2 linked regions of the Styela clava genome follow. The protein of the gene in region 1 purifies or fractionates together with the protein of each later gene. This does not show direct contact. Links are inferred from orthologs where the notes say so. Each region holds a gene or a part of one and is shown in the gene's direction. Other genes may lie near its edges.

The links.
Region 2: the proteins of nipped-B-like protein A (region 1) and structural maintenance of chromosomes protein 1A-like purify together in Homo sapiens (affinity purification with mass spectrometry; 3 studies listed by BioGRID and IntAct, with this or other methods). This does not show direct contact. The link is inferred for Styela clava from reciprocal best matches to the Homo sapiens genes NIPBL and SMC1A.

The regions. Positions count from the first base shown.
Region 1 is NC_135260.1:16,737,455-16,754,217, forward strand, and holds the start of nipped-B-like protein A, read left to right. Parts: upstream 1-9,575; 5' UTR 9,576-9,713; coding exon 9,714-9,843; intron 9,844-10,467; coding exon 10,468-10,636; intron 10,637-11,012; coding exon 11,013-11,121; intron 11,122-11,699; coding exon 11,700-11,779; intron 11,780-12,410; coding exon 12,411-12,487; intron 12,488-13,020; coding exon 13,021-13,094; intron 13,095-13,282; coding exon 13,283-13,356; intron 13,357-13,823; coding exon 13,824-14,526; intron 14,527-14,976; coding exon 14,977-15,034; intron 15,035-16,763. UniProt on the Homo sapiens protein: Plays an important role in the loading of the cohesin complex on to DNA. Forms a heterodimeric complex (also known as cohesin loading complex) with MAU2/SCC4 which mediates the loading of the cohesin complex onto chromatin.
Region 2 is NC_135252.1:24,236,344-24,253,598, forward strand, and holds the start of structural maintenance of chromosomes protein 1A-like, read left to right. Parts: upstream 1-9,777; 5' UTR 9,778-9,851; coding exon 9,852-9,960; intron 9,961-11,884; coding exon 11,885-12,062; intron 12,063-13,530; coding exon 13,531-13,654; intron 13,655-14,166; coding exon 14,167-14,326; intron 14,327-14,723; coding exon 14,724-14,881; intron 14,882-15,841; coding exon 15,842-16,012; intron 16,013-16,696; coding exon 16,697-16,855; intron 16,856-17,158; coding exon 17,159-17,255. Other genes in the region: NEDD8 ultimate buster 1-like, read left to right, coding at 1,106-1,261, 2,232-2,440, 3,273-3,500, 3,824-4,184, 4,563-4,678, 5,028-5,117, 5,305-5,418, 6,408-6,639 and 2 more. UniProt on the Homo sapiens protein: Involved in chromosome cohesion during cell cycle and in DNA repair. Central component of cohesin complex. The cohesin complex is required for the cohesion of sister chromatids after DNA replication.

The DNA.
Region 1 (16,763 bases):
AGGCGATTAGGTACCGATTTCGCCACTCAAGCGGGTACCTGATTGATGCATATTAGATCTTGCTTACTATAGACACATTGCTACCCTACCATGCTAAAGACTAGTGGATTCCAACCTTTCTATACTTGCAGCATCAAATAAAATATAGCAACTCATGGACCGGCATCGAAATTTGAAAATGAATGATTGTGCTGTATTGTGTCGATACATATGTCCGAGTAAACACCTATATTATTACTCTTAGCGCTAAATCTACGGCATCGACGAGCGTAAATTGACAGAGAGAAATTAGAAAATGAGTTACCGTTTCTCAAGCTGGTTTTGTTATTATTATTTATTGACTAAACGTAATTATTTTTCTTGCAAACAACTTGGTCGGCGAAAATCTTGTTTTGCTGAGTTTCTCTCTTTTTATACTTATAAGCAACAACTTCGTTTTCGAGGTGAAATTTGGATATGTTAGCGATGTGAAGGTGTTTCATCAATTTCAAAAATTAATGCGTTAACATCTTAATACATGTTAATCTAAATAATAAAACTAACAATTCCATAAACAGAACAAATAAAAAACTCAATGAACTCAAAACAATGAACAAAAATCTTGCATTACAAGTTTCTACTATACGCTACTTCTGATGAAACTTGGCAAAGTAGGGAATAGAACACAGTGGGATTTTGCAAACGGAGAAAATAGTTTGACTGCTGTTGTCATGAGTGAATGTAGAGCAGAGACGAAATCTTCTGTATGTTCCCCTTCTCTGGCAGATGAAATCAAACTCGCTAAATCTTGTCTCATGGGCTTGCCATTGCATGTATATAGTTTATTCGTGTAAGATGTTAATGAGCCGCTTAAGAAGGCTTTTCTGTGTATAGTTCTCATGGAGAAATAACCGATTTACTTGAGTATTTGTGATCACGATGTTAATTTGTGACTTATTGCATAAAAGTTGATGACTTATGACAATCGCTTGACATGAACTTCAAGAAAAACGTTACAGCCACGCATAGTAGCGTCAGGCAGTAAAATTCAAAAATATTTTGCTCGATTCACACAGTCAGCCTTAGGCGACAGAGCTCAAACGCGCGACGGTTTTTTTTGAACAGTAAATGTGCTTTATTACAAAATGCTTAGTCATGCAGCGAACGCTACGGGGAACCCCTCGTTTTCCCATCAGATATGCTTGGCTTAGCTTTTACCACTAATCTCAATAAATTGCTTAGTCATCGTTGTGTAGCGATAGAATATACCAGACTGTATCAAAATGAAACATATATGCCAAGCAATCTATAACAAGTGATACTAGAATAATATGAATTACCAAAACAATTTATAAAAAGTTCCTTCTCGGATATGAAATATTGTAAGCATTAATAATCATTATAGATGTTTACCCGATCCTCGACTTTAGAAAGTTATTAATCTAAATCACCATTGCGGAATTTTTCATTCGTTTTCAGACAGTATTTCGAAAGTTTGCGCTTGCGGACTGGTTTACATCTTCAAAATCACCATTTTGCCTCAAAATGTTCCAAAGGCTGCCACGAAAAGTGTCACAGTTAGATTAAAAAGCTTGACACACCTCATTTTTTGATTGCTGCGACCGAATTAAAAAACTTCCGAGGACAAAATGATGGCTGGGTTGTTCGATTCACTCACATTTTGTGAACATGATCAAAAAATAACAAATAGCACTCAAGACGACTAAGTCTGAGTAAGAGGTGTCTGATCCGCTGCTAAAATTTCAATCGTATGCCACTGTTGATTACTTGCTGATTAGACATTAGCCGGGTAATCAACAAAGAAGTCGAACATCGGTGAAACGTATTTGTACCGGCATCACATCAATATTGTGCGCGGTGTCAATCTCAAGCCCTTTTACTACATTCATCCCTTCAATATTAGGGCTTGTCCTCTCCAGCCCGATTGGTTTTTCAACGTCTCGTTCAATTAATTATTTACAATGTTTAGGCGATTAAGAATTGATTATATACTTCGCAGTCGTGTATTTTAGTTTATTCGAGTTGACGTCAGATGATGCGATTGATAGCGAAGTTCCCGGCTTCGACAAACGCAAATTGAAAGATAAATTGAAAATGAAAAGATTCGTTCCTATTAATTATTATTTCTTGTTATTAAATAATAAAATCTTGTATATTTTTGGACAAACAAAATGAAAACACGAGGAAATTTAGGGTAAATATTCATTTTATTTGTAAGACAAGTAAATTTAACAACTTTTCTAACAGTTGACCGTCGACTGTAATTCATGATCCTGTTATAATATTTTTGTTGCGACGTTATGACCAAGAAGTTAGCATTGTAGAAAGTCCATCTCCCGAATTAACTGCAAATGTGCTTAATTTCATGGAAGAACAGCAGTAATGACGCGCCCTAAGCCTAGCGATTCTGTAATCAGTTTAATATCAGCTTGGATAATATCATCTTAGGAGAGCAATGCCAATACAAAAACTATGACTGCACAACATGATTTAATTGTAATAGGAGAAATATTACTGCCATCTGTACTGTATTTCTTTACCCTTAAATTGCTTTATATTGCCACAGAAGCTTGCCTTTCGTTCTCGGTATCATCTTTTTACCCGATTCCCTTTTTCACAGAGAATTTATTTTCTATTTATTTATAAGAATATTCTATATATTATTGTAATGCCATCTGTTACCCCCCAGAATACTTCTCATCTTCCATGCAACTAAATATGACTACATAACATGGTTTAATTGTAATAGGATAAATATTACTGTCAGCAGCACTGTAATTCTTTACCATTAAATTGCTTTATTGCCACAAAAGCTTTTCTTTCGTTCTCTGGGTATCATCTTTTTACCGAATTCCCTTTTTACAGAGAATTTGAATTTATGTGTACAAATGGAATATTATGCAGAATGTTATTATTCTTTGGAGAATTCGATGAGGCTTTGAGATATCTACTTGAAAAGGAGCAGGATTTTTTCTTTTCTTTCGGGGAATCCGGATTTGGACGAATTCTGAAATGATGAAAATTATTTTCGGACGGATTCGGATTCTGTTTTTGGCGCATCCTCACACCACTATGGTTCCAATCTTTTCTAGTTTGGTATTATGTGGCATGCGACGAGAACAATTTTAGAAATTTTGGCACGTTACCTCATTTGAGTTGTGCACCCCTGCTCTATACAATATTTCGCAATGGTAGATGCAACCGTGACGGAAACTATAAATTCTGGGTTTCTCGTTCTCTATTTTTCTCTTTTAACTGCGTTTAAATAATATTATCACTCATTGTCGCAGCACGTTCCGGAAATTTAATAAGTTGACTCTGACAAAACACATATACATATCCAAACACCACGGCGGGGGAGATTTATGGTTGTAGCCTACTACGTTTGAGCTATTTCGTTGAAAGAAAACGACCGTGAAGATAATGGGGAATAAGACTATTACAATTGGTGACTTTAAAAACGTGGCGACCGCAGCGAATTTTATACTTTCAATTCGTAAGCATTTTATCACATATATATATGTGTGTGTGTGTGTATTTGTTTGTGTTTAATAAAGATGCGACTATTTGTGTGAACAGACAAATATGTACTGGTGCAAATGAATATGGGTATATATTTCCAACGGAACAACTGGTGTAGACTACTATATATATTTTTGCTCAATTCATAAATTGTTTTTTGAGCTGAATTTCAATTTTAATAATCTTCTCAATTCGTACTTGGGGACGACTATAATTCTTTGTGGGCCATACTCTATCTGGAACTTCGACATTTGCATAACTGACCCAAATTAAAACGACGTTATTGCTTATTTTTTGTTTACTTGTACGTATGCAAAAATCGGCCCCCCGACTGATAGCAGTTTTGCTGTACGCAGATGCTAGGAATCGCGATGATCGATTAAAACCTGGTCGGTTACTATACGTGGTGAAATACAAGCTCATTTGTTTCGGAGCAAGCACTCATCATACTAACTGCCACGAGTATAACCACAAAGTATATTTTGCATGTACACATGTTTCATTCGCGAATAAAATAAGTGCCAATATATATCTGTATTCCAAACTTACACCTCAAAAAAATCTAGATAAGATCAAAGAGCTGGATATATCGGAAATATCCGTCTATTTTCAACCAATACAGATTCAGATATTTATTTCCATCAGGCAAGAATCAATATAAAGCAATGATACACGTGAAATAAAACAAAAAACATTGATTTTTAGCAGTTGATGAGGGGTCGAAAAGACCCAAAAGAGCCATTCAGTCAGCGACACCTAGATGTTGAATTACAGCAGAAAATATAAATAAAGAAACAACTTTTGAAGGAATAAACTTTACAACTTACAATAATAAACAATAATAGATTCGAAATAAAAATACGGAAATGTGCCATAAGGTTTTATAGCGTACCGAACTACCGATATCGACAAAATAGCTTTTGGCGCCATTGCTGCTTACAATAAATAATATACACTGTCGCTAGAATTGGACAAAGACTGCAACTTTCAGAACTTAACTGCTTAAGATATTCACATGAAGATAGATAATCATTTGAAGCAAGACTTCAACAAGAAAGAATTATAAATAAATGCCTTCCTCCGCGGAAAGGTCTAGTCGTTGTTGTTTGAATTGAGAGAAACGTTTGACAATTGATTACTAGCAAAATATCAACTTTATTGCATGCTTGTCCATTGTCAAACATTTCAGAATTGGAGAAATCAGAATCAGATGGCGAATTGAACTATCCGGTTGCTATTTCGATATTGCATGTAAACCAGGTATAAAAAATACCGCACCCGACACTCTATCGAGAATTAGATGTGATCTTCCCTCTACTATAATGTCTTGGATGGAAGACGTTAGAAGAACAGTCCTGAATTGTTGTCTATCCAGAGAGATAATACCCGAATACTATCGACCAGAAGCAGGAATTTGACGAGTTTACAAGATTTTCATTCGCTATTTTAACACCTAATGTTTTGGCTGCCAGTGTCGTAAAGGATCTAGCTGCATTGTTTGTTGTAGGCCTAGCCTATTTGGAAGGATAAGATAATAAAAATTAGTAATTATTCAGTTTGAGTTAGGGATGCAGATTGCACTAGAAATTAAAATTTTAAATCATTTAAAACCTGGCATAATAGTTTTCTATAACATTGGAAAGCATAAGAAGGGTGCTAGGAGAAGGGCATACCCATTAAATAGTTGACTTTCTTAGCATTGACGATTTTTCAATTTGAAAACGGACGTCAGCCATTGGAACAATTTATTTTATTGAGACATAAAGAAAATTAACTTGATAAATTATCAATTTCCCCATATATCACCTACTCAGGTACAGTCTGAAGTCTACCGCGTTAGGGTAAGGCACATATTAAGGATTCACACACTCTTCCCGGAGCTACGGTAGAAAGCCGATTGGACAGCATAATCATTTGGCAAACCCCAGCCTCTCGTCCGATATTCAGTCAATGTCGGGTATGGGATTAGTTAGCCAGTTGTTTTGTTTTCAAATGCACAAAATTGCATGCACGGTAGTAGAGGAAATCAGGATTCGAACCCGAGAACCCACGCATGGTATTCTCAGGTGCTGTAGGTGGCAAGCGTATTCTTTTTGGTTACGATGCGCCACACCGCTCGTGTATTGCAAATACCGTAAATGCTTTTAACGCCCGGTCTTGATTAAGGGCCCGAATGAATAGCCGCCCGTGTGAACAGGACATGAAAATAAATAAGGGCCGGTGCTTGAATACCCACCCAGTGTAAATTTTTTTTTTTGCGGATTTGTACCTGCGGTGCGTAGAAAAAGTCAAAATTTTCATTATTTTCGTTTAAATCATACTTGAGAACTGGAAATGACAATATACGGTATTAATTATTGTAACGATCGATCTTATCTATACCGGTATTTTTGTGTGTAATTTTACTTTAAAAATAACATGCGCCCCTACTTGAATAAGGGCCGGTTTGAATAAGGGCCCGGTTAGTGAGTATGTTTAAAAAAATAAGCGCCCGGGCTATTAAACGAGCAAATACGGTAAGCTGGATTCGAAATAAACTCTTCAGCTCCTTATGAATCGCGTTTTCATCCCTCATTTCCATATTGCCTGGGGATTTCATGCGATTAAGTCCAATGTTTCATAGCTCTATCTGTGCGACTAAAGGAATTTAGGTTATGGCACTTTGCTGAGAGCGCAACCATTTTTCACGTACTGACGTTACGTGTGACGTAATTTTCAAACAAAGGGAAATTTGTGTGGTTGGTAATCGATCGGTAGATGGAGGTAGATTACCGTTCCCTCCTTAGCTTGTCCAAAGTTTTGTCATCAGCGAATTCGAACCTGTTGTTTAATAAGGAACGACTTGCTATGTGTTTGCCCATGCGATCTGTGCAGTGCTGCAAGCATACGGTACCGGTATGTTCCTGTATTTGCTGTGCGATATCTTGTGATCTGTTATTATCAGTGTCAGAGTGTACCGGTATCGGCATCACAATTTCTGAGTTTCAGAGTTTTGCCTATTTTTCGGAACGTCCCCCCAGTTTTTCAAAATTCTGAATTAGGTCATGTCTAACATGAACATGTTCATAAAAAATCTCGATCGAATTTATCTGAAGTTCATAGGAATTGAATTTATTAGTCTAATGCAGAATATTTGAGAAAGGTGTTTAGTGGTTTAGCTGTGATCTTTACTTTTGAAGTACCGGTACCGGTACCATACCGCAGGCTATATAAACTGACCAGACTGGATTCCATGGCAGGTGCACGCCCGAGGGCGCTAGCGCTCCGCAAAAATGCACGCGAGCGAAATCAATTTTGCACGCCGAAAATTTGCAATTGCTCACCAATGTAAATCGGTTTAAATGGTTTTAAAATCAATAATCCAGTAATATAAAGATGCCAAAATATTATACCTCCACAATTGTCGACAAATACCAGCTTGCAAGATTTGGTCTGATCGAAATATTGCGAAGCAAAAAGACCATGGACCTTTCCCCAACCTTTGACCCGCGAAAAATTCCTCTCATTGTTACGTCCTTTTTTGCATCTTGCTGATTGGCAAATGTCACGAAGTAAACAAGGAAGTCGATGCTCGGGGAAAGGTCCATATCGTGTTGAATGATAGGAAATAGGAATCCCGTGAGAATAGTTATGGACGAAAAGATCGCCTCCGCACCAATGGCCAAGTACGGCTCTGATTCGGCGTATTTTTCATACAATAATTTTACACGAATGTACTGAACAGTACCGGTATCTAAAGTTGCTCAAACACTCCCAAAATTAGTGACAAAGTATGAAAATAATGTTTGGGGTCAAAGGTCAAACGTCCATTTTGCTCTAATTTGACGTATTTTTTATCCATTAATCCTACGTAAAAACACTACCAAAATTAATGACAATGTATGTCCATTTTGCTCTGGTTCAACGTATTTTTCATCCAATAATTTTACGCGGATGTACTGAACAGTACCGGTATCCAAAGTCGCAGAAACACTCTCAAAATTAGCGACAAACTGTAGAAATAATGTTTGGGGTCAAAGGTCAAACGTCCATTTTTTCTCTGATTCAACGTATTTTTTATCCGATACTGGTAATTTTACGCGGATGTATTGAGAGGTATCTGATGTCAAAGTCAGTTGCACGCGAGTGCAGTTGTTTTGCACGTCGTGAGCTATAATTGCACGCCAGGAATTCTTATTTGCACGCGGGAATTTCTGATTGCACGCCCGATTTCTCGTTCAAAAAGGCCATGAAATCCAGACTGGTAAACTGAAATGATCAAAACCAAATATTTTACTCTTTCGAATACATTTCGTGAAAATATTTTGGGATATGAAATAACGAATACCGTAGCCTACATTCTAAATTCTGAAATTGGCAGATTGCTGGATTTGGGGCAATTTTATGTGGAAAATTACATAAATCACAGTATCTTCATGTTAATCATATCTTAAATGATATAAATATAAAGGGCATTGTTTTTCTTATGTTGTTTCTTACTAGTACAGTAGTATAGATATTGTACATTTTGATCTACTTGTCCGTCGACTCAAAATCTCTATTTTTCAAATAAAAATTTACTGAATTTTTCCTAAATTTAATTGCTGGTGACTTAAGAGTAAAATGGTACCGGTAATTCTTGCATGCACCAGTAGGCCTACATAAAATCAGAGGTTAAAAGTAGCAACAAGAACTGTCTGACTGTAGATATAACGAAAAACAATGATATGTGTAATGAGATTTTTGCGAAATGAGATTTCGTGAGAATGTATTTTTGCTAAAATGTTATTTTATTCAAAATACGTTTTCACAAAACTACATTGTTGCATGAATCATTTTTGCAAAGTATAGCCATGTAAAAAGTTTTTGTGCAGAAGATACCAAGCTAACAAATAACTAGTGACTTAGCATGAATAATAATTGAGTGAGGACCTAGATCAGGGTCGGCCAACCTTTTTGGCCGACGGGCCACATTTCAGCATTTTGTTCACTAATAATTACGCGGGACAACTTAACATAGTAATTATGTTCTAGTTTTGCTACACTGACTGAAAGTTAATGAAAAAACAAACAAAATCCTCGCACCAAACTTTCTCAATAATAAGAATAATAAAAAAAGAAGATACAGTAAAGTCAACAAAGTTTTTTTACTTACTTTTACTTACTAGTTTGGCACTTTTTTCCCTAACAAGTTTGTCAATATTCGCTGAAATGGACGATGTGGCAATGCGAAGCGAATTTTCAATATGACTGTCAGAAATTAGTGATCTCACAGGGGATTTGACATGGTTCATCTGTGAAAAAACTTGCTTGTACAAGTGCTGCCAAATAATGAGGTCATTGAAACTGCCATTCTGGCCAAGTGTATAAGCGACTATTTCTGTATCGATATCTCCCAGTTGGTTTCGATTCCAAATGGCACTCATGGCTCGTTTGAAAGGGCTAGCAGAGCGCATTTCAGGAAAATGAACAAATTGTTTGTATCAAAAATTTATATTAATTATCATGCGAAAAATCAAAGTTTTACTCATTTTATTTTTATTAATTCCGAAAATACAGCGCGGGCCACTCAAAACTCCTCGGCGGGCCACGGGTTGGACGACCCTGACCTAAATTGTCCAGTTACTGAGTTATGCAACAATTTGCAAGTCTGCAAGTGCAGTTTTAAGTATTTTGTGGCGTCTGAAGCTGCCGCAAAACCATGGCGGGATTTCAAAACCATGGCCGCTATGGCCAAACCACGGCGACTGACTTTTTAGCTGCCACAAACCAAGGTCTTGATGCCGGTACCACGGCAGCAAATTGAAAACTAATGGCGGGTAAAATTTTTCACATTTTCCCTATGGATACAGTTTTGATGTGTTTGGGGTTAGGTTTCAGGTTTAAGTAGGTATAATTCTGTGTGCTAAACTAAAATCTGGCAGATGACTTTGTGAATATACCTGTGAATATAATACTGATTACTGAAGAGCGCCATAAAACCATGGTAAGAGATACCGTGGTTCGTTCATGGCACGATTTGGTTGCAATGTTCAAGAATAAAATAGTTTTTAATTTGAATTTCTTGCATTTTATGATAAATTGCAGGAAAGTGCTTTGTTTAGGGTAGCTTATATCTCTGTATCGGGTTTCAGTTAAAACATGAGAGGAATATAGCAGATTTCCATATATTTTCATTTTCACATTGGGATAAAATACCTTCACATATATGAATGCTTCTCAAAGAAACTTATGTACTCGGAAACACCGCTATGAGTATGAATCCTAACAACTTAAATCCAAACATGGAAATTCCAAAAATACCGTTGATGACATTGGCAGGAATCACAAGTTTGACAGATGGTGAGTTGTTTCTATGTGCAGTACGGCACAACTATCCCATTCCATGAAAAGCCCCCACATTGAATGACATCGATTATAATAGTGAGTACAAATCCCTCTGTTACGTGACAGTTTGGGACTCCGCATTGGTATAAATCGGCTAAACAGCTTTTTGCACAATAAACTAAAGAAAGTGCAAACTAGAAATATTGACATTAGATTGCTCGGAAAAAATAATGCGATTTACTGGAAGAAAAAAAATGTACCATAGCATTCAAGAGTTCTCAGCGAAAAACGCAATTTTGGTCTTGTGCCACCCCAATTAATTTAGATTATTTCCGAGATAAGCATGGCGCAATCTGACGCAATTCCCGTAGTGCCAGATGCCCTCATTTCAGAGACAAATGTTTTTTTTTCTGATTGAATCAAATGTCAGGACATCTTGGAATTAGAGAACTGTGCCTGACTTGATAAATTCAATGCTTTTATAGATTTATGTTAACTAGGCATCTGTGGCATGGATAAATAATGGATAATGAATTCCTGTTTTTCATTTGGGCTCATTAATAATAGTTAATTCAAATCTTGCCATTTCGAAATAGTTTTTTTGTTATCTTCCTAGTATTAATTTCAATTAAATTTCAGTTCTACATGAGTTGCCACTGCCTGGTCCACATCCAGATTCTCTGGAATACCCTCTGTTTGCTTATTCGACTATTCCTATGCCCGGAATCAAGAGACTGATAAATAACACAGACAAAAACAATGTTTCAAACGTCATAGATGCACTTTCACAGACAAATACAGAAGACATGTAAGTTGACGTAATTGTTTCAAATGTTTGGTCACCTCTACAATTTGCTGTGTCAATATGAAAATAAATGAAGTCTCATATAATTATATTTGTTTATATAGTCATGATAACATGAGAATTGTAATAGTTCCATTAGTCAGAGAATTTCTGCTAGGTAAACAGGTAACAATTTTTTAAAATTTGAAATATTGAATTTACTGTAGTTACTCTTTTTCTCTGCAGAAGCTTATTTTTTTCTTATAAAATCATGATTTTTATGAAGGTTATTCATTTCGATTGTCAAATAATAATATTTCAATATACTCTGTAACATTTTTTAGTCAACCGTTTTTTTGCATAATTTTCAAGTTGTTCATCTTGTACTTTTTTTTTATAGAATTCTAAAAGATCCATCTCAAGATACTGATTGCTTAGATGGCCTTAATGTACCACCTTTGTTGCAAGCCATCTTAACCAAGAAACCAGATGTTTTTTATAGAAGACGGGTAAACTTCTTTTTGCATGAATGTCCCTAGCAAGATTTTTAGATCATACCTAATTAGCTCTGTTGACTCAGCATCATAAAAATGCCTTATCGAAACTCAGTTGCTATTCCATCACCCAGGCTGTGGATTTTGTTCCAACAATATTCCATATAAAGGAGTCACCATTGTTTTACAAATTTGCAAAATTACAAATTTGCAAATTCAAATATTTATGTCATTTATTCCTTATTAATTACCGGGAATCACCACAGAAAGGACTTTCATTGACATGTAGTGATAAGGTTAAATTGTTAGTAGGTATACTTTTTTGGCTCCTCAACTACCTGGTGTTTTTATATCTAGTAATGAAAGGCCTAGTGGCTGGAGCTTTATTGAACTTAAATATGATGGTGTCCCAGATCCAAGTTCAAATTCCATACCCTACATCTTACTCAAGAAAAATGCTTCGATTGTCCCTTTTTTGTATACTTTTTATCAATAAAAGGCATGGATGAATATACAGTATATACCGATAACTGTACTTTTTTGCCTTTTCAACATTGACTTTGTGAAATTTGCAATGCTCTGTTTTTTTTCAGACTTTTGTGAATGATGTTGGAGGAAATATCAAGCATAGCAGTCCTGCACAAGCTGCTACTCCACAGAGCCCTGCAATAAGGTATGAGTGCGTATGACCCATAATATTACCAGTTTATAACTCTGGGAATTGATGCAAATAATTCATTATATCTATTTCACACAAAATTTTTATTTTGTTATGTTTCACCTACAATTTACGTCCACTACAATTTACTTTTTTTCCCATTTTTTTTGTCCACGAATCCACAATCATACTTATGTTGAAATGATATAGCCTTTATAAAATTTTCTAGCACTATAAAAATTGCTTGTCATGAATCTGAGAATTCGTTTTGTTTTGTACATGTATACATACATATATATATATATATGTTTAGTGCATATATGCTAGCTAGGATATAATTTTGATTGGATTTTTTGAAGTTCTTGGGATTGAGCGAATTATAACAGTGTTTTCAAGTTTAATAATTATTGTAATGGTATTTATATTGTTTATTTATAGCTTTCATTGTAATACACAGAAATGTTCGAATTTTTCTGTTTTTTTATATTGTATAATGTTTGGATTTTTTTTCCATCCGCTTTGATGAAAAGTCGAAATAAATTTGATTTATTTTTGATGTAAATTAGTTAAATCCAATTTTCTAACTACTAGTACTCTGAATCATTGTTCAAGTTTAAAAAAAGTTTTGAATAATTTCTGTTTTCAGTTACACAGGTTTGCCTATGTATCAAGCAAGTCCAGCTGAATGTGCTTCTGAAATTTCCTCATCACAGTTCAAAACAGGTCAGAATTAATAATTGTTTCAGAATAGACCCTTTTTTCTGCTGATCCTAGGTATATAATGACTGTCAATATTTAAAAAAAATTGTTTCATAATAGACCCTTTCTTTTGCTGAGCCTAGGTATTGTATATAATTGACTGTCAATATCTTGAAAAAATTAGTAGGAGATAGATATTTAATTATTGTGTTACCCATATGTATTTGATCAGTGATTTTTTACCGTTATTCGAGATGGTAAGGGCACGTGGATTACCCCAGAAATTTCTGCATATCTATTTTATCTTTTGCTGCTTGGACATTGCTTGCTATATTCTTGTCGAAAGATCATTTCATTTTTACACTTTTTAAATTTTCCTAGCAAAACTGTCCACCAACTTGAGAAACATTGTTGAATTAACTTACCGGTAGTTTTTTCAACAGGTGTAATTTTATCTTTCCTTGATATTAACGGTTTGTCCTCATTGAGACTCTTATCTATTATGGTATACCACTTGTATTTGTTGTATTTTTATTTGCTTTAAATGTGCTATTTAGATCCCAATCAGGTCAACAGGTCTCAAATTCCTCATTCCACATGCTCTGAGAATCGAGATACACCTTCATCCTCTGTAAGTTCATTTTATAGTTTGCATCTATTTTTAAATTTTCAGTATAATATAAAGCATTTTTTTATACAATTTGTTCCTCTTATTTTAAATACTTGTAGGACTTCATTTTATTATGAAGTTTATTCTATTTCTTATCAATATGGCAGTCAGTTTATATTGGACCTCGATATTTGGAACATTTTTTGCAGAAAAATGAATTTACTGTTGAGAATCCATCTAATCAAGTGCAAGAAGAAAATCCCAAGATCTGTTTAAAAATACGGTGAGAAAACTACATTGTTTTTCAGTAGTCAGTTTTCAGTAGCTGTCCATCCTCAAAAACATTATTATTGTAGCCTGTGAGTACTCCCGTAGTGTGTGAACCAGGTTAGGGAGAGGTTTTCTTCACTTTATTTCTATTACGAGTCACGGACTGTCTGTGTTAGCCAAGTGAATATACCCCCTGCCCAAAGGTTTCAGTCGCTTTACACAACTTGTTGTAAAGTAGGCGAACAAAATTAGTTACCTCTATATTGGTGCACACACTTCTTGTTGTTCTTGGAGCGCCTTGTTGTGTAATACTGTCATTTGCTTTTAAAGGATCAGATGACAAAAATATTTAGGCTTGTATATTAATACTTATTGTCAATTTCACATTATCTTATAATTGTTGATTATATTTCTACACAGCTCCTCTGTTTACCGGTATGTGAATTGTTTCAATACAACTTAAATTCTTTTTTATATTAGGAAGAAAAAGAAGAATAATAAAGACAAGGAACAGCCAAAATCATCGGAGATGAAATCCTCTAATGGAAGTATTGATTTAACAACGAACGATGTTTGCTATGATATTGTTAGTAGTCCTTCAAAACAACCTGGTTTATCATCACCAGGATCACTCAAACTTAAATTATCAAGGATAAAAACAGAACCTGGTACAAATTCTGATTTTCCTGCTTTCGAAGTTGCTGATTCCAACAAGACACCAGAAAGTTTGAATAATCAACAACAACCTCAAGTTCAAAGTTCAAATGACACTCTACAAAGATCAGGTGCTCCTATGATCAACCAAACAAGATTAGCACCAGCACCTTCATACAGACCTCCATTATCAAACAATTCAAGTTCTAATGCCATGAGCCAACATTCTTCACATAATAATACAACGCCACCACAATATCCCAATGTTGCACTGCCTTTTTCAAGTCCTCCAGCCGCTCGATCAACAGATTCTTACCTGCCGTTTGCACGGCCTCCATCTTTTGCTAATACAGACTTGAATGTCAACACTCGAGCAGGTACTCCTCATTCACATCAGCGTCAACCTATGCCTCCACCTCCACCTTATGCATCGCCGCACGCAAAGAATATCACTCCAGAACAACTTGCCAATATGGCATCCAATTTCTCACCATCACCAGTTTCTCTTAGTCAGCATAAGCAGAGACAGGTTTGTATTGTTTTATATTAATGTGGTGATCATGGTTAACATGTTTATGTAATATAGCAACATAAAAATTAATTTTTCAAAGTAGAAACTTTCGTGGTAAGTGGTATTGACCATTATTAGAAAATGTAAAACATCTGTGCTGTTATAGTCGAATCAAATATACAAAGACGGAAATATTTTCTGTATTTTTCATAATTTTGTTTGTGTTACTTTTCAAATCATATTATTTTGAAAATATTTTATACTTTTTACTTATTTGAAGTGATGATATTCGGCACATGTATGGGAAAATAGACATACGCGTATATTCGAGGATATATGGTAATACAAATCACCCAACTATCATTGCACTTTATACTTCTAATAGAAGGATCAAGACTTCGATTTAAGTAAAGCTTCCTAATGACCTGAAGCTCACATTATTATTGTATACTTTATTCCATTTTGTAGAATCGAAGCAATAGTGAATCATCTGGTAAAACTCCTTCATCTAAGCCTAGGAAAAAGGGTAAGTAACTACTTGTGCTTTATTCTCCACCGAAAGATTTAGATCAGGGGTCGGCAACCTACGGCCCGCATGACGCTTCACTGATGACTTGCAACCCTTAATTTTGGCCCGCGAGTAACAAAAGGTTGCCGACCCTTGATTCAGATGCTTATTTATTGGTTGTTATGATATTGCACCAAGTATGATATTGTATGTTAGTAGTGTTATAGGAATGCTTTAATTCATTATGGTAATTACAGGATCTGATTAGATTTTCAGAAATTAATCAAATGTATAACGACAAGAGCATGAGGGTAATTTTTAACAGAAGACGTCATGGCTGTTTAGTAGGTTAAAGTGAGGGAGATGCTTGTAGAATATATTAATGAAAAAACAAATTAGAATCCTTTATATTAGAGGTCTCACCCATTTATGGAAATAGTTTATCCATTCTGTAATATAGATATGAATGGATGTTTTTTTTATTTGAATTATTACTTATCGATCTTTAGATCGGTAAGTATGTTGATAGGTATTTGTCTGTTTGTATGTTAGATGCACGCGATATCTCACGAAGGTGTGGTTGAATCTGCTCCACATTTTGCATGTGCATTCATCATATCTCGGACCAGAAACTTATTGATTTTGGATGAATTATGTCGTATAATTAGCGAGTTATTAATTAATTAGTGATGGGACACGCGGTGTCACTATAGAGTCATGAATCGAAACCGCAGTTTCGATCGATAAGTCTTTGGTCTCTGACTGATATTCTCGTTTTGAATTTGTTGATTAGCACTTTGCACTAATTACCTTGCTGTTGATGTTGTGCAGGTAGATGTTTTATTATTGCAGCACAATGAAGCTAGATGGAATATTGTCTGTTTGTTTGTTGGATGCACGCGATATCTCACGAAGGCGTGGTTGAATCTGCTCCAAATTTTGCATGTGCATTCATCATATCTCGGAACAGAAGCCTATTGATTTTGGATGAATTATGTCGTATAATTAGCGAGTTATTAATTAATTAGTGATGGGACACACGGTGTCACTATAAGGTCATGAACCGAAACCGCAGTTTCGATCGATAAGTCTTCGGTCTCCGACCGATATTCTCGTTTTGAATTTGTTGATTAGCACTTTGCACTAATTACCTTGCTGTTGATGTTTTGCAAGTAGATGTTTTATTATTGCAGCACAATGAAGCTAGATAGAATATTGTCTGTTTGTCTGTTAGATGCACGCGATATCTCACGAAGGCGTGGTTGAATCTGCTCCAAATTTTGCATGTGCATTCATATCTCGGACCAGAAGCCTATTGATTTTGGATGAATTATGTCATATAATTAGCGAGTTATTAATTAATTAGTGATGGAACACGCGGTGTCACTATAGAGTCATGAATCGAAACCGCAGATTCGATCGATAAATCTTCGGTCTCCGACCGATATTCTCGTTTTGAATTTGTTGATTAGCACTTTGCACTAATTACCTTGCTGTTGATGTTTTGCAGGTAGATGTTTTATTATTGCAGCACAATGAAGCTAGATAGAATATTTAAAAAGGAAGACAGCATTTTATGAAATTTCAAAAAAGCTTGCAAATCTTTTCAGTTAATTTTAGTAAAATGGAGTTAAAAGTTTACAATTTCTGTATTTTGTAGTTTTTTCTGTGAATTATTTAACTATGCAATATCTAACTTTGAATATGTAGTAATACAGGTAAATATATCAGGTATTGCAGGAGAGTA
Region 2 (17,255 bases), on another chromosome or scaffold:
TGCAATAATCTGCAAATATGAAATGCCTGGTAATATAGCTAGGTTGTAACTTGTAGATAGCAGTTATTTCATTGCTTATTGTAGGGAAATTCCTACATACATTTAGATAAGCTTCAATTGGTGGATTTTATTTTCGAAGTATTCGAAATTTCATATTCGAAAAAAATAATTTCGAATGTATTCGAAATAGTGAACTATTCGATATTGGCCATCCCTGCTATCAACCTATTCCAGGGGTGGGCACAATTTTTTAGTATAACAGCCGCATGCTGCAAGTCAGAACTTTAAAAGAGCCGCAGAATTTGTTAATTTATTAATATTATTGAAATACCATGAACAGAAAAGAAATTCACACAAGAGTCTAATAACAATAAATAGATAAACAAGGCAACTCTGACAACTCGGTTTTCATCTTCGTACTTTCGTTTTTTTAATTTTGGACACATCGCACAGTAACTTATTAGACAAACTAACCGCAATCAAGCTGCAATGCCGCCGACGCATCAATAAACATTGACCGTTGTGACGAAAGATTTGCTGACTCGACTGACTTAAATTCAACGCTACAGTGATTTTCATACTAAAACATAGTTTGTCCTAATTATTGACGAAAACTTCTTTACAACTTTTAAAAAATTAAAAGAGTTTACATTAAAGTTTTTCTCTTAGTTAAAATTTGGATAATAATTTATGTTAGCGAGAAGAGCCGCACAAAAAGTCTGGCGAGCCGCGGTGTGCCCACCCCTGACCTATTCTATCAACTCTATACCTTTGATTGGTTGAAATCATAGCATCTGAAACAACTAATTAACCAACTAATCCTGGACCAAACATGGACTGGTTACCATAAGGGCGGCTGGGGTTCGTCATATGATTGAACTTTACGAAGCCTTATCGCCTTCCCTCTACTCCGGGATAATTATGTACTGTAAATCCCATCATTCTCACAAATTATTATAAAAATCCAATGCTACTCTAAAAATTCAGCATATTTCCTTTTTTTAATTCGCAAATTTTAATTTCTTAGAACAGAATTTCTAGAATAAATATAATTTTGAATCCCGATTGGTGTCAAATCTCACAACTTTTCTATTATGAATCACAAATGGCTTCAGAAACTCAAGCAGCTACTAACAAAGTGAAAAACCATTTGCGTGTGAAGAGTGTTAAACTATGGCTTCCTCCTTACACAAAAGAAAATGGAGAGATTGAAGCAGATGCCATAAATACACTGGCTTTGGAATTTAGTAAGAAAATTAAAGTAAGTTTATTCATTTAGTGAGTTATTAAGCATATTGCTCTGAACTAGTCACTGTACAAGAAAATCACAGACATGAGATTCAAATCCACATTTCTTTTTAGCCTTATCAATTTATTAAATAAAACTTTTGGGATCTTTTGTACAAAACCTCTTCGAACGCTCGAAAATGGGAAAATAAATACCGGTAAATGTTTATTTAGGATTGCAAATTGCACTGAAAATTTCTTATTTTGAGTGTAGTGGGAGTGTTTTCTCAAATCTAGTGGCGAGGGCTTTATACAAAAGAACTAACTTTTGAATGTCAAACTTTTACGTGCATGGGAGAATAAACAAGACCCTACACAAACAGTCATTTAATTTACATACTCTGCCGTATTCTATTCAATGACAATCATAATACTCCTGACAAGGTGGCTTGTGATGCTTGCTTGCTATTTCATCAATGATTATACTATCTGAGGTCGAATGTTAGGGGGGGGGGGATTATAATTATGTGACAGGATTAATAAACTCTTGTTAGTGTAGGTAGGGTTCTTTACGTTAGTTACTTACGGTTCCCTCCACTATTCAAGTCTATGCGTATGCATCTTAAATAAATACGGGATCACGAGAGGCCATTTTGTTCATTTAAGATCGAGCAGTCTCATAAGCATTCCTTTTTCCCCGGAAATCCCAATTATATATTTTTTTCAAAATTTGTATAAGTATAAGTTTATTTTGACTCCATAATCAGCAATAGACGATAAAATAATTGATAAAACAAAATAAATAAAACTGATTACAGAATCAGCAAAGCAAATGAAACCTCAAGTAAGGTTTGAAGCGTACAGATTTTAGATGCAAAGGTATTGATAAAAGAAGTACCTAGTATGTGTGCGCTTACCCAATTTGTAGTCTGAAACTATAACAATTCAACTTTAAATAAGAATACCGACTCGAACCTAATTTCTTTTGCATCATCCATTTTCAGATTCCAGAAAATATTGTCGTCATATGCTTGAATGAACTCTGGCACCACACAGTAGAAAGATTGCGTCAAAATGAGAATTATAAAACGAATAAAATTGCGACATTGAAACTCAAGCGATCATCAACCGAAAAAGTGGAGTTCGAAATTGTTGAAACAAATTTAAACGTCTCTGGGGAGGAACTGAAAAAATTAGTCACAGAAAAATTAAAGTATGATTGTAGTTACTTGAAATTTAAGTACTCATGTAGTATATGTACCAGATTAGGGTTAGGCCGTAATTTCAGGTACAAATACTACGTGAGTCACTTGGCTAGTCGTGATAAAACTGAAATAAGGAAAATTGGAATAAAATTATGTCCTAACCCTAACCAGGTGTACATACTACGTTCCGGTGTCCGCCATCCTGGTGCACATACTACGGAGCGCCGGAATTTATTACTTCAATTAAATTCATGCTCACTCACACTCAAAAACGTGCTCATGCTCACACATTGATACACTCAAAAACGAACGGATTTTCAGTGACATTACGGACAGTCATTGAAAGAGTTACTGAAACTATATAATATAGATTATAGAAGCTTTATGTGCCAGTAAATATATTGCATTCTCCACATAATAGGGAAATCCCATGAGGAAAAATGATGTAAAATTAATTATAAAGTTAAGAATAACATATCATATTAAACCTCATTAAAGGTTTTGTTCGCCCTCCTCTTTCTGTTTTCAGTTTTAATTATTTATCTGTTTTTATCAAATGTTTATTTATCGTCGGTTGTACTGATTATGGAGTCGAAATAGATAGATAGTTTATTTTGGAAACTCCACAATCTGACAATACAAACAAATAAAAAATGGAGAATTCTGGAGAGCGAGCAAAACCTTTAAAAAAAGTTTTAAAAAAGGTGAATATCATGTGCCCACTCACCAACACGCATTCACAAAAAAAAAAATCTTGTTAGACAAGGCTTGGGCAAGAAATAAACACACAAAAAATATGTGAATGTAATACACTTAAACCTATTCCTTTCTGTATACTAGGCTTTCAGAAGATGTCAAACTCATTTGTGGAGGTCGCGTGATTCAGAAAGATTCCTCACTTGAATCACAACATGTAAAGCATAACAGTGTTATACTGTGTCTTGTAATCGCCCAATCAGCTCGCAAAGAGTCATCAGAGGTCGAACAAGCATTGAAAGCAGTCAAGCGTGCAAGAAAAGGGGCGGAGTTATTGGCGGAGATGGGTGCAGAATCAAGCGATATGTCAGGGTGGGGCGTATTTACATGACAGTTTTATCCAAGCTGTTCACTATAAGCCAGTGGTTTTCAAACATTTCAAGCCGCACCCTCTTTTTGGGATTTGTCAAGTCTCGCGCCCCACCTCATAAATAACTAGAGCTAAAAATAAGCTACAAATAACAGTTAGGCCGAGTGAGGCAAAAAATATATTGTCTATTAATTATCAAATATGTTTCAAATTGAACAATTCAACTCAATATTTTTAAGGAAACAACTAAAGGCGAGTGTATTTAATTATTGAAGGTTTTTGTGCATGTTTTTAAAATCTGAAGTTATTATTCCTTTCCTTTCAGGGCTTATGATGTTCAAATAGCAGATCAGAAAGGGCAAGCGTTAGATTTACCAGAAGAAGAAAAACGATCGCTCACAATAGCTCTCGGACTACATGAAAAAGGTCGTGCAATATTACAGCGTAAAAACTATGAACTCGCTTTATTACTTCTGCTAGAGGCTGATAAAGAGTTCCGAGAATGTCGTGCGGAAATTTTAACGATGGTCGATAACTATGCAGTGCTCTGTTTGGACATCGTGTGGTGTTATGTTTGCACAAAAAATATATCCGCACTTCCCGACGCGAAATTAAGACTTAAAGAATGTGAAAGCGCTTTTAATAAAAGTTATGGAGACTCATTACAAAGACTGCTTGCAGTGAAGGTACGTTTAGTTGTTAATTGTAATATTATTCTTCATTTCGTGGGTATGCAACTATGCATAATACTAGAACCCAGGTCACTCGGTCGGAACATATTCAAAAGAAAACATAACTTTCGTGAAAAACGTCCTAGATATACTCATACACGAACAGTTCAAGTGTTTGTTGAATACATTTTCACAGAAGTACTTGAGAAAAATATGGGTTTTGTTTTTTGTAATGTATGTTATTATGTAATGTATGTTGTATGTTTAGTTATGCCAATTCTATAGTTGGACATGATGCATGAATATCTCCCAATCCTATTGGCGGTCATACTCTTTGTAAATAGCTGCAAAAAGCATGATATTTTCAAAACATTATATCTTCTATGTTTTCAGGGTTCTTCCGGAAATGAAATTGCACTTTTTGTTCGCTTGTATTTACTCCAAGGAGTAGTTTTTTATCACGAAGGACAATACAAGGAGTCGAATAGATTATTAGACAAAGCTCAAGGGTTCGTATGAGTTTTAAGTGAAATTACTAAAAGTAGTGTCACACTTGAACTTAAAAGTAAAGGAGACATGCCTCTTAGCTCAATTATGGCTGGTCATTGACACTATTGTTATCAACCTTTTCTTTTATCCTGCAATAAATGTGAAAGTCATATACCATGCATCTAACAAACGTGACCCAAAGGTTAACTGTTAAAGGCTATCCGCCACAAAAATGGTGGTTTGTGTAGGTGACAATATTCCTATACTTGTTGTAGACTGGTAACTGAGATAAATATATGTAATTTCGTCCCAATCTTATTATAATCATAGCTTTTTAACACATTATCAACTTTCCTCTCTCTTCCACAGGTATGCAAAGATGGTTGTCACTGATCAAGATAAAGTAACGGAGTTGATGACAATGGGATTGGCCGAGAGGGAGGCAAGGAGAGCATTGAGGTTAATGTCATTATTGGAGTGTATTTTTCTTCAAAGAGTTTTGCGAAAAATGCATTACATCACAGCTGTAAAATAAGAAAAGATGCTTTCAAATTTATTACTTGAAGGGTCCAGATTCGGATTGGGGTCCGCCGGCCTACACGATTCGATTTAAATTTTTGACCTTGCCTCTGTTTTCAATACTCAGGGCGAACATGATGGATGTAAAACTGGCAACCCAGTGGGCTTTCAAACAACGAGAAGAACATAAAGAAATAAAGAAACAAGAGAAAGAGAAGAAAAGGAAAAAGGCATTGCAAAAGTATGAGAAGTTATATATGTTTTCTCCGAGCATGGCTCTAGGCCGCTTTTCAGGCCGTATACCCTTATTTGTTGGATTTGTCCGCAACGGTCAACCAAAAAGATGCAATGACTTTTTGATTGAAATCAATCTCTAAGGAGATCAAGCTCTTTTTTTGGTGCTCCTGAAGTATGCGCACCAAGATGTCTCATAACCTGAACCCTAACCTGGTACACAACCTGAGTTCAGGTAGCGTGTCATCTTGGTGCGCATACTTCAGGAGGTCCCTTTTTTCATCGTTATGGACCTCTGTGCAGTCATCTTGAACCCATCTTGAAATCTGCTCTAGGCTACCATTCTTGTTGCATGAAATATAAAACTTCGCTATGAACAAGATCCTGATTTTTCATTTAAGTAATATGTTTTTAGGGACACTTATTCCTCCCGCCTTACCCTTTGCTCGAGGCTTTGTACAAGCATTCACTAATAGCTAATGTTATGTAAAAAGCTCATCTTTTTGGAATCTGTTAGTCCGGCATTGCCTACGATTTATTACATCTTGGGTGAGGTAATGGGCTTGGTATCTGAAACTGAGATTTCAACCTGCCATGTTATCATAGAGAGAGAGAGAGAGAGTTTATTTCATTTTGTCAAACCAAGAAAACAATATATACATACATACATATGTGCATAACAAAATTGAAAAAATGTTTTCGGTACATGACTGGGAGGCAACGATACGACCTTTGGAGGTCATCAGAGTCAGTTGCCACCCAATTCAATAAGCATAAAAAATAAATAACAGGTTTGGTGTCAATCTATTAATACCTCTCATGTTTGTTTACTATATACAATATTTACATAATATTTATTGATATTTATCATAGTCAAGTCTAGTGCATTCACCACTTTGTCACCAAATGCAATGTATTTCATATTGCAGAATAACATAGTTTTTGCCATTCCCTGCTGCTTTCCAAAATTAACGATATTCTTAATTTTTATTTCAGAAAATTTGGGACGTGTGCCAACGAAGACCCAATTAATATTGACACTTATGAGCAACTTGTGTCACAGATGGGGTTCGAACCCACGTTAGTTGTTGAAGCACTGAAGCATGCTAACAATGATGTGGGTGGGGCTATAGAAATGATTGACAGTAATCCTGACCAATTACGTGAAGCTGTTCGAATGAATGCAGAAGAAAATATGAAAAAGAATAAAAAGAGTGCGCTTCAACAGGTTTGTTTTCAGGATAGTTTTTACAGTTCATCCTGAGAAAGGCTTGGCGGTGTGACGCAACGAGCTAATCATTAGGAATACGCTTGCCACCGCACCTCTGATTTCCCTGCTTAGGCTTGCCGGTTCGAATCCCACACGGAATATTTATGTGCAAGAGTATTGCTGGACTCTTCGCCGCGGTTCACGTAACCGCTTGTCGGTTACGGCTTCCTCCACCATAAAATCCCATGCATCTGAAAACAAATAATAACTGGCTAACTAATACCACACACAATGACACAACATGGACTGCTAACCGGACGTGATGTCGTGGTTTGTCATATGATTAAGCCATCTTATTAGATTTCCTCTTCCTTGGGATAGATATGTAAATCCCATCCTAAGCCGATACGAGACATTAATTGTATGGCAAACCATAGCCTCTTGCCCGGTTAAAAGACCATGTCAGGTATGAGGTATGGGATTAGTTTGACAGGTCTTTGTTTCGTCCAGTGGTGGTTAGCCATCAAGACCGCAGTACCGATGGTCTACTGTGACAGATTGCCCCTTTTCCATCATTCTAGTGGTATTAATAGTGTTATTTTGATTGGTAGATTCCAAATACCATTATGTTCAAACAATTTATGCATAAGAAAACGAAAACATCCTGTGAAATAACTTTATCAAGCAATGAAAACTGAGAAGAACGGGGGAGTTTCTTGTAAAGTAAAATTAAAATCAGTTTTGCGCCCAGCATTCATAATATATTTGTTTATAAACCTGTGCCTGCTTGCTTACAGCCTTGTTTACAGACAACTTTTTTAGTATCGTTTTTATTCATCACAGCTGAAAGCCATGGGATTTGATGAAGGAGTCGCAAAAGCTTGTCTGGAACATTTCTCTGGTGAACTAGAGGAAGCTGCTTCATATCTTGCTGAACATTTAGGAGAAATTCCCTCAGAATGGATCAGTTCCATCAGCAGCGCTTTGGAAGTAGGAGAATTTGTTTATTAGGCTCGACGGTGTGGCGCATCGTGATAAGTATCAGGAATACGTTCACCACTGCATCTCTGATTATCTTTCGTGGGTTCGAATCCTATGCGGGGATAGTTATTTGCGAGAGGATTGCTGGACTCCTCACTGTCGTAGCGTGGTTCACGTAACGGCTGGCCGTGGTTTGTCAATAAAGAAGTCTTATCGCCTTTTCTCTCCCCCGGGATAAATATGTAAATCCTATCTTATCCAAAAGTCATGATGCATCACGGCATCCCGTTTGGTTGCAAACCAGGTTTGAGTGTGGGGATAAGTTTACCAGTTAACCAAATATAAATAAAATGAACTGAGAACTGAATTTCATTTCAATTCTTCATGCTGATAGACATTTTCTCATTTACATTTTATCTATGTGATTGCCTTCCTGGGATAACTGTGCTCTAATCTCATTTCCCACTTATTAACCAATGACAGCACAGCATGATGTCAGGGCATTATGGGTAAAACCCAGCTTGCTTCTTAGGTTTAAAAATACTGCCTTATCCTATGTAGATCGGGATTATTTGTAGATTTTCTGATATTTATGGGGGGGGAGCTCCTTAACTAATTACCTGTTCAATATGCGTAGACGTATCATTTTATTGAGTATTCTTCTTTCTAATTCCAGGACACAGACACTGCAAGTTCATCTCGGAAACTGACTGAAGACGAAAAAGCAATGGTGCATGACGTCGCAGGTGATGTCACGAAGCACACTGACGAATATCTCGATATCTCTTTGTCCGAGGAGTTAGAACTTATTGTGCAATATCTGACAATGATCGAGTCAGTTTCTGGAAAATAGGAATTTTTAAGTCTGGGTGTTGAAAAAATTTAATTTGAATAAGAATATAATTTTATTTTATTCTATAAATATCTGTTTAAAAAAAATTAAATAATTGAATTTATCTATTCAGTTTTTTTTTTTTTTTCATTGTATTGATGCCTCCTTAATGTGTGCTTTTTTATATTTCTGATGCGTCTGACAAACGTTTAGTTTCCCAACTATATTGACATGTCACTGACATCTCTCCCAATATTGTTGAATATTTTAGAGGGTCCGAATATCCGTCTTATTCTATATATGGCACTGTCTAAACTGCCTTTTTATTGTTATAAAAGCATCTCCAACAAATAACCTGTTCTTGTCTGAGGGATTACTCGCAGTTAGCAATAGGATAGGATTTACATATTTATCCCGGGGGAGAGGAAAGCCGATAAGACGACTTATCCATATGGCGAACCACGGCCTCTCGTCCGGTTACCATTCCAAGTCTGGTATAGGATTAGTTATATTGTTTGTTTTCGGAAGCATGGACTTGGTGGTGGAGGAAGCCGCAACCGACAAGCGGTTACGTGAACCACCCAACGACGGCAAGGAGTCCAGCAATCCTCTCGCACATAACCATCCCTACATGGGATGCGAACCCACGCAGAGTAATTAGAGGTGCGGTGGCGAGCGTATTCCTAACGCTTAGCCCGTTGAGCCGCACCGCCGCGATAAATCCATCTCATCTAGTTGAGATTTTGTCGTGTTTTTGTGATTAGGATTGGATTTTCATATAATAGTTCTATATAAGTTTATTTATATCGCGTAACATACTAAAGTGCCTAACAGACAGACAAATATCTAACAACATACCTACCGGCCAAGATCGATAAGTGATATCGGGTTTGTTTTGGCTTCATAATCGATATAAAGGCGAAACATGGGCGATAAAAGCGTGGATAATAATGTTAGAGAGCCAAGTGAAAGTAAGGGAGATACTGGGCGAACTGAGAGTTTTTATAATGTGCCGATATACACATTAGTGTTTTCAGAGTGAAAGATCTTTTTTTCATTCTACATTGGTCACGTAAAGTTGGCATTAAAGATCATAAAGAGTTTTATTTTATATTTATCTGTGCCGGAGAGAGCGCTGGGCTATTGAAAGGTTCAAATCAAATGGTTAACTAAAGGTATGTCTTTGAATCGACAAAAATGAAAAAAAACACTATTATAAAATTGAGGAAATACATAAAATAGTTGAAACAGTAATTGAATGATCATTTTTATGTGGTTTGTGTGCAAGACCAATAATACTCTACTAATTTTTCTTGACTCCGTCTACCACAATTACAGGAAGATTTTGCGCGCTAACGCTGCTAAGCGCGCTCGGTCTTGATTTGTTTTCGTTGCGGGTGCTTTTTCCTGTAGCAAAATGAGTGGACGTTTGGAAAGTATCGAAGTTGAAAACTTCAAATCATACAAAGGGAAAATACTGATTCCTTTCAAGAGGTTCACGGCTATCATTGGACCTAATGGATCGGGTGAGCGTAGTTTGGTAGTGGCGATGGATTCCAATCTGCCGATGGCAAACTGGTGCCCAGGATTCAGAGTTTGCTATATCTGTATATGCTATAAATCTGTAAATGTTGTATTCCAGTTTTGACAATACCGTAAAAGCGCCTAACTTCGGGCAGTTACTAACTTCGGACAAAAAATTTAAATGGCCATATCTTGACTAGTAAGCGCCGTATATTGTCAATTATAATTTTTATAGGTAGAGCTGTTATATATACATCTATTATCAACCTTTTTAATGTTGTATAATTTTTTTTTTTCTCGAAAAAAACGGAAATATTGCCGAAAAATGACTGCACTCTATTTAACGGCACAGAGTGTCGCTCCTACTCAAGTTATCATCGTCAAAATACCATCATCCGGCAGAGGGCATTAACAATGTATATAATTTATCAGAGTGATCGCAAGATGTCATACGAGATTTAGATTAAACGTAAAATTCTGAATTGTAAATTTCGTAAAATTATTGAGATTTCACACTGCGTCAAAAGTTACGTCAACCTCACATAGATCATTTTTCGCTCACTGCCGACACGAAGTCACACTGCGTCACGGAAACGAATTTTGACGCCCGACACAACGGCGCCAAATTAGCAATTTCCGCTTTAGGTAAAGGCGCATTCCAGTGTAATATTTCTGTATTTTGTTCGGTCCATGTGTGAACATATGCCAAAATCACATTAACGAGAATACGTTTCTTACGTAACCAATGTCGTCAAGATTCGAAAATATAAAACTAGAGAAATGCAACGTCTGAACGTCCATGTGGCTCTGTATACTGACGAAAACAACTATTTTACGCTTTGAAGTCGAAATCGATAGTTATTAGATACACCCGTGTGGAGAATTCATTTTATTCCGAACCAGAATCACGGTACCTATCTCAATGTTAATTAGCGAAATTAAATTGAAGAATAAACGTTCCTATTGGGTTCGTGTTAAGTTTGATGAAAAATTAATTACTTATAAAGATAAGCGTAACATCAACACAGCTATCTATCGAGAATATTAATATTTCAAAGACTTGCAAGTCGGTTAAAATGTTTCATTGTAGATCGAAACGGTTTGCATTAGAATAATTTGCGTATGTTAATTCCCGATTAGAATGGCCAACGTGTTATTATACTGATCTGACGTAACTAAAATACCAAATAAATGCAACAAGGTTAACATTGGACGATGGAAATTTCAAATGATGCATTTTCGCCACGCCGTTTCGATGTTAACGTTACGACGCCGATCGAGCGTCTTATATTCACGCAACGATGTGATTACGTCATCCGCGTCGGAAGCCTCTTTCTCTCTGTGCGTCGCAGTTACGCAATGAGGAAAATGACTGTCCGAAGTTAGGGCAGTGAAGGATAATGGTCAGATGGCAAAATAAAACTGATTATTTCAATAGTAAAAATATTCCGACGAGCACGAAATTTGCAGGGAATGTAGCGTACCGCATCAATGTTTTACCGAGCAATTTTGGCGCAATTTGAACAATAAATGGTTGAGTTATTGATGAAAATATGGTAATTTTGTCCGAAGTTAGGCGCTTTTATGGTACCTAAGGAGGGTCTTGTCAGTTTTATAACCAAGATCTTGACATCCCAATTTAATCTAACCTTGCATCCACTGAATGAACTGGATCAGCGAACAAATCTACAGTAGGGCACAGTTCTCGCATTCCATGATGTCCCGACATTTGGTTCAATAGAACAAACATTCTATTTGTCTCTGAAACAAGGACGTCTGGCACGATGGCTGATGCGTCACATATCTTGATAATATTTTGAATTGTAGAGTGCGGCTATCACAGTAGTATCATAAATTTTTTCAGCTATTTTTTCTCAATTTCAATTCTCCATCCCAGAATTTTAAATTTATAAACTTTTTTTGTAGGAAAGTCAAATCTTATGGACGCAATCAGTTTCGTCCTGGGAGAAAAGACTAGCAGTTTGAGAGTTAAGAAATTGTCGGATTTGATCCATGGCGCCCCCGTTGGTGCTCCTGTCGCAAACAGAGCTAGAGTCACAGCGACGTACGTTGATGAAAAAGGAGAGAAAACTGTCTTTTCAAGGTTAGTTGCGAACAGATGTGAGAAAATGAGTATGAATTCAGTGGATCGAATCCAAAATGACCATATTATAGAAGGATTCGGATCACGCCCTTATATGTTTTCAGTTGTTTTAAATTTGAGGTAGTCATCATTTTCAATTTTTTTCAAACTAGACAAGACTTTAAACCAAGGGTGGAAAATTACGGGCCGCTGGCTGGATCTAGCCTACTATGGTGTTTCATCCGGCCAACTTGTGTCTGCTTAAATTACGATTATAGTTTCTATTGATATGAATTTCAGCTGAAAATATCGTAAATGGAGGATTTACATATTCATCCCGGGGGAGAGGAAAGCTGATAAGACGGCTTATCCATATGGCGAACCACGGCCTCTCGTCCGGTTACCATTCCAAGACTGGTATGGGATTAGTTATATTGTTTGTTTTCTGAAGCATGGACTTGGTGGTGGAGGAAGATGTAACCGACCAGCGGTTACGTGAACCACCTAACAACGGCGAGGAGTCCAGCAATCCTCTCGCACATAACCATCCCTGCATGGGATTCGAACCTGCGAACCCACGCAGAGTAATTAGAGGTGCGGTGGCGAGTGTATTCCTAACGCTTAGCCCGTTGAGCCACACCGCCGCGCCATCGAAATAAGCCCGATTGTTGCTTTGTGCTTTATATTATTATATAAACGTTTGCCTAGCTGTTGGAATAGGTGTTGTGAATAAACTGTTTTTTATTCATAGTTTTTCGTATCGAGTTCTGAGCTTCAGTAACCAAGTATATTTCATGTGATTGGCCCACTTAGAAAAGTAATTGTCCACTCATGCTTTAAATCAGTGTGTGCCGTGAGAGATTCTCAAGTGTGCCGTGAAGCTTTTTGGGATTTCAGAAAAAAAGCTGTTTGTATTACACATAGGCATACATGCAGCTGGCAAGCTTGTGAGCCTTGCATATCCATATCATTATTTACAATGATAATATTATATATTGCATTCGACTTGTCTTTATAGTAACAGGGATTGTTTTGTCATAAATGTATTGTGATGTCATAATGTTTTTGTAAATATGACGTCTACCTTCCACCGTGTTGACTCTCACGTTCAGTTACGTAACAGGAAAGCAGGTTTGAACAAGTTTTGGCTATCTGCTTACAAATTATATTTTATCATTGGCGCAAAGGCCATCAAAATATTCTAGCCATTTGCATCTCCATGGCACTGTTAACACGTATTTTATGTTTTGACTGAAATTAAAAGCGAAAAAGGGAGCGACCGAACCTCATTTCTATTGTTTTTCAAAACAGGCACACACATCGCATTAGCTGAATAACTTGTTGAAGTCCAGCTTTATTTTTTCACGAGTGGGCCGCAAGATTTTTGTTATTTGCTCAGTGCGCCGTGAGCAAAAATAGTTTGAGAACCACTGCTTTAAATCATGTAGTATTTAGTTTTTCCTCATTTTCACCTTTTCTTTTATTTCAGAATAATCAAAGGTTCTTCAGCCGAACACAGAATCAATGATAAAGTCGTTCCTCATGCCGACTACAACAAGGAAATGGAGAGAATTAATATTTTCATCAAAGTCAAGAATTTCTTAGTTTTCCAAGTGAGTGTCTTCTATAGCAACGGTTCCAAATTTTTTGTTTTTGCGTCGCCAAATTATCATGAGAATACTCATGGCGTACTTACACGATGAAATTGCTGCCTTTAAATAAAACTCAATTTTGTGATTGTTAGTGTACATTTGTTAGTTAATGTGTATAATATGCCTTTTTAAGGTTGTAATCATGTAGGCCCAATGAATGAAGGCAAAATGTCAACTCTTATCCCTCATCTTTACCTAGTTTTCCTAAATAATCACTCGTGATCGCTAACTCAGTTCAGCAAATTGCAGAAAGTAGTATCTGCCTCTATTGTTACATAACAGTTACGTGACTCACTATATTGCCCTCGCAAGCTAGTGTACTCTAGTTGCAACCCCGCTGTCTATATCCTCACTCAGTGTGTAGATTATTCTAGACCAGGAAAATTTTTTTCTAAATATTATCTCTTTACACAGCTCGTGACTGTTTGTGTAAAGCTATCTGTTCTATTTGTCATAAAAACAAAAATTTCCAGGGACAAGTGGAATCAATTGCTATGAAAAATCCGAAAGAACGGACGCAACTCTTCGAAGAGATCTCAGGATCTTCAGAATTTAAAGAGGAATATGAAAGAGCAAAAGCTGAAATGGTCGCCTCGGAACAGGAGACGCAGTATTCGTATCATAGGAAGAAAGGTCAGTATGAAATTATTCATAGCGAAATGGTGTGAAGCCGGGTTGAGAGCTGGGGCCAAGCTTAACTTAATATATGGAGCTAGAGCCATCAGAAATTTCAGTACTTTGCTATTCAATTTAGTAAACTCTGACAAATCCACACCTCTGGAAGAAATACTATTTTTGTAAAGACCGCAACTTTCATGCTCACCAAAGTTATTAAACTCGGTTAATGGGTGCTCCCGTACCAAGATGGCGCACAACCTGAACACAGTCTGTGTACAAGGTCAGGGTTAGCAGGTTGTGCACCACCTTGGTACGGGTACCTTGGTAGAGATATTACGGGAGCGTCGGTTTACGGGCGTTGGCACAGAATTCAAACCCGATATTTTTAACTTATGAATTATTAAATCTTCAGGCATTGCTGCTGAAAGAAAAGAAGCCAAACAGGAAAAAGAGGAAGCGGAGAAATACGAAAAGCTGCGAGATGATTACGCTCAACAACGGTTACAAGTTATGTTGTTTAAGTTCTTCTATAACGATAGAGAAATGGAAAAAATGCACGAAACATTGCAGGTTTGTAAGAAGTTTCACATATTTTTATGTGAAGTTGCACATATTTTGTGTTGAATTTCACATACTTTGTGTGATGCTTGATATATTTTATGTAATGTAGCATTTTACATATTTTTATGTAGTTATCCATATATTTTCATGTGTTTTTTTTTTTTAATATTTATTTGGTGTTTGCCCATATAATGTGGTGTTTCACCTATTCAACATATTCACACTTGGCGAAAAGCTGTATATGGTTTTCCTGTACATGTCTACTCAAAGCAAGCTCTATGCTCTCAACTAAGAGTATGACCTACGCACAACCACTATTTCACTAGTAACTATAGATAAATTTTTTCGTGGCATCAATCAAAATTTATTTTCCTTCTCTTTAGCATAAAAACTTTTTACTGTGTGTAGTATTTTTTGTGACGCTTCATATATTATTATATGGTGCCCTACACAACTTATTTGACCAAAACAAAAAGTCCCTATTTCTTGACAAAAAGTAGAAAGAGTGCTGTTAAAAGAATAATGCATTCATGCCACAAAAAAACCTTGGTTTTTCATACATGTCGACTCAAAGTAAGGCCCCATTCTTACGACTAAGAGTATAATTTGCATGCAAACACTGTTTCACTAGTAGCTATAGTTCTGACATGTGCAAACTACGGTCCATGGGCCAAATCTGGCCTGCCTGCCTGATGCTGCCATAAACTTCTTTTCTAACAACCAATTACACTTGCACTGTATAGTTCTTGTTATTGAAATTATTACGTCACACTTACATGGCCCGCAAGTCTAAGCAGTGGCGTAATTAGGGTGCGGCACGAGCCATGGGCGTCGTTTGAACAGGGGCGCAAAAACAGCGAAAAGTATAAATCATAAAAAGTTTCAATCAAATAATTTCAATTGGAAATAATATTAGATGGATTTATTGTGACACAAATCAGCATATTCATATTTCCACCACCTTATCAGCATAAAAACAAAGATCTCAAGCATCTGATGCGAAAAGCAGAACGCACAGAAGAAGAAGTGAAAACCAGGAAGCAAGAGCAGGGAAAGATGATGAGAGAGGCGGCATCTGTCGAGAAGAAGATCCAAGAGAAGGAGACAGAACTGAACAAGAAGAGACCAATGTATATCAAAGTATGTATGTGATTTATGCATGGTAGTGAAACCATTTGAGGGAAACTCACTTGGACCATTTTCTAGGTTTTCATTAACTTAAACAATACTGCTATACAAAAACTATAAAAAGTGTACAAGAAGAAAATAGTTTACAGATGGTGGCTAACCAAATGAAACCCTCGCTTTACCATGTGACTAGTAACATCTTCAAATTGCTCGGCGATAATTAATTTCATCACATGGATGTATTGGTCTGATTACTTTACCACACACTTGTAATCATTGTACCATTACTTGTTGTTACTTGGTAATTATCTTTCCTGTCTGGTGATGATGCTGCATTGATGGTTTATTATAGTTTGTAACAGGCTCACATAAGGTTATTATTTGTGTCAGATTTGAACAAAGTTTTGGCGTGTTGACCATAAAAAAAGCATATAATACATTTGAAAAAATTAAATTTAAATATACCCCCACTTTCAAGAAATTTTCAGTTTGATTTAATTTGGCCACTTTTTCAAGTTATACATCAACAATGATTTATTCAATATAGATCTGGAAATAGATGTGCCTAATATGAAGTGTCTGTATAGACACCTGAAAAACCTTCATTATTCGATTCTTCTCAAATGCACTTTCCAGTTTTCCACATGTTTATTTCTTACAATGAATAAACCAATAGGCACCACTATTCCATTACAGGCGAAAGAAAACACAAATTTTGTAATGAAGAAGTTGGAATCGGCCAAAAAATCTCTCCGCACTGCAGAAATGAGACACGAGAGCCACATGCATGTGATTGAAGATTTAAAGCAACAACTGGCAGATGTGGAGTCTAAAAGATTAGAGTTTGAATCACAGGTATGTGGGAGGAGCATAGCCAAGAATTTTCAAAGAAAGGGTTCTGAATTTCAATTCTTATATAAGACAGTAACAGCTAGCAAGTCCGGTAGTAAAAACTACCCCTTGGGTAGGCCCTGGTATGTATACATGTTTTGTTCAAAATAATGCCATGAACGATCAGTCATTAATGTGGACTTAGTGAATAAAGAGTTTCTTTTATGTATCTGTTTCAAACAAGGCTCTGCGCAAACGACATTGAGGTACAGCTAATATAGTACATATAAAAGTTAAAGACGTTTTTATCAATATTTCCAAACAAAGGTCGAACTCGACAGTCAGACTGAAGGTCGTGACCTTGAGCTGGAAGAGTCGCAGATCAACGAATACAATCGCTTGAAAGAGGAAGCGGCAAAACGAT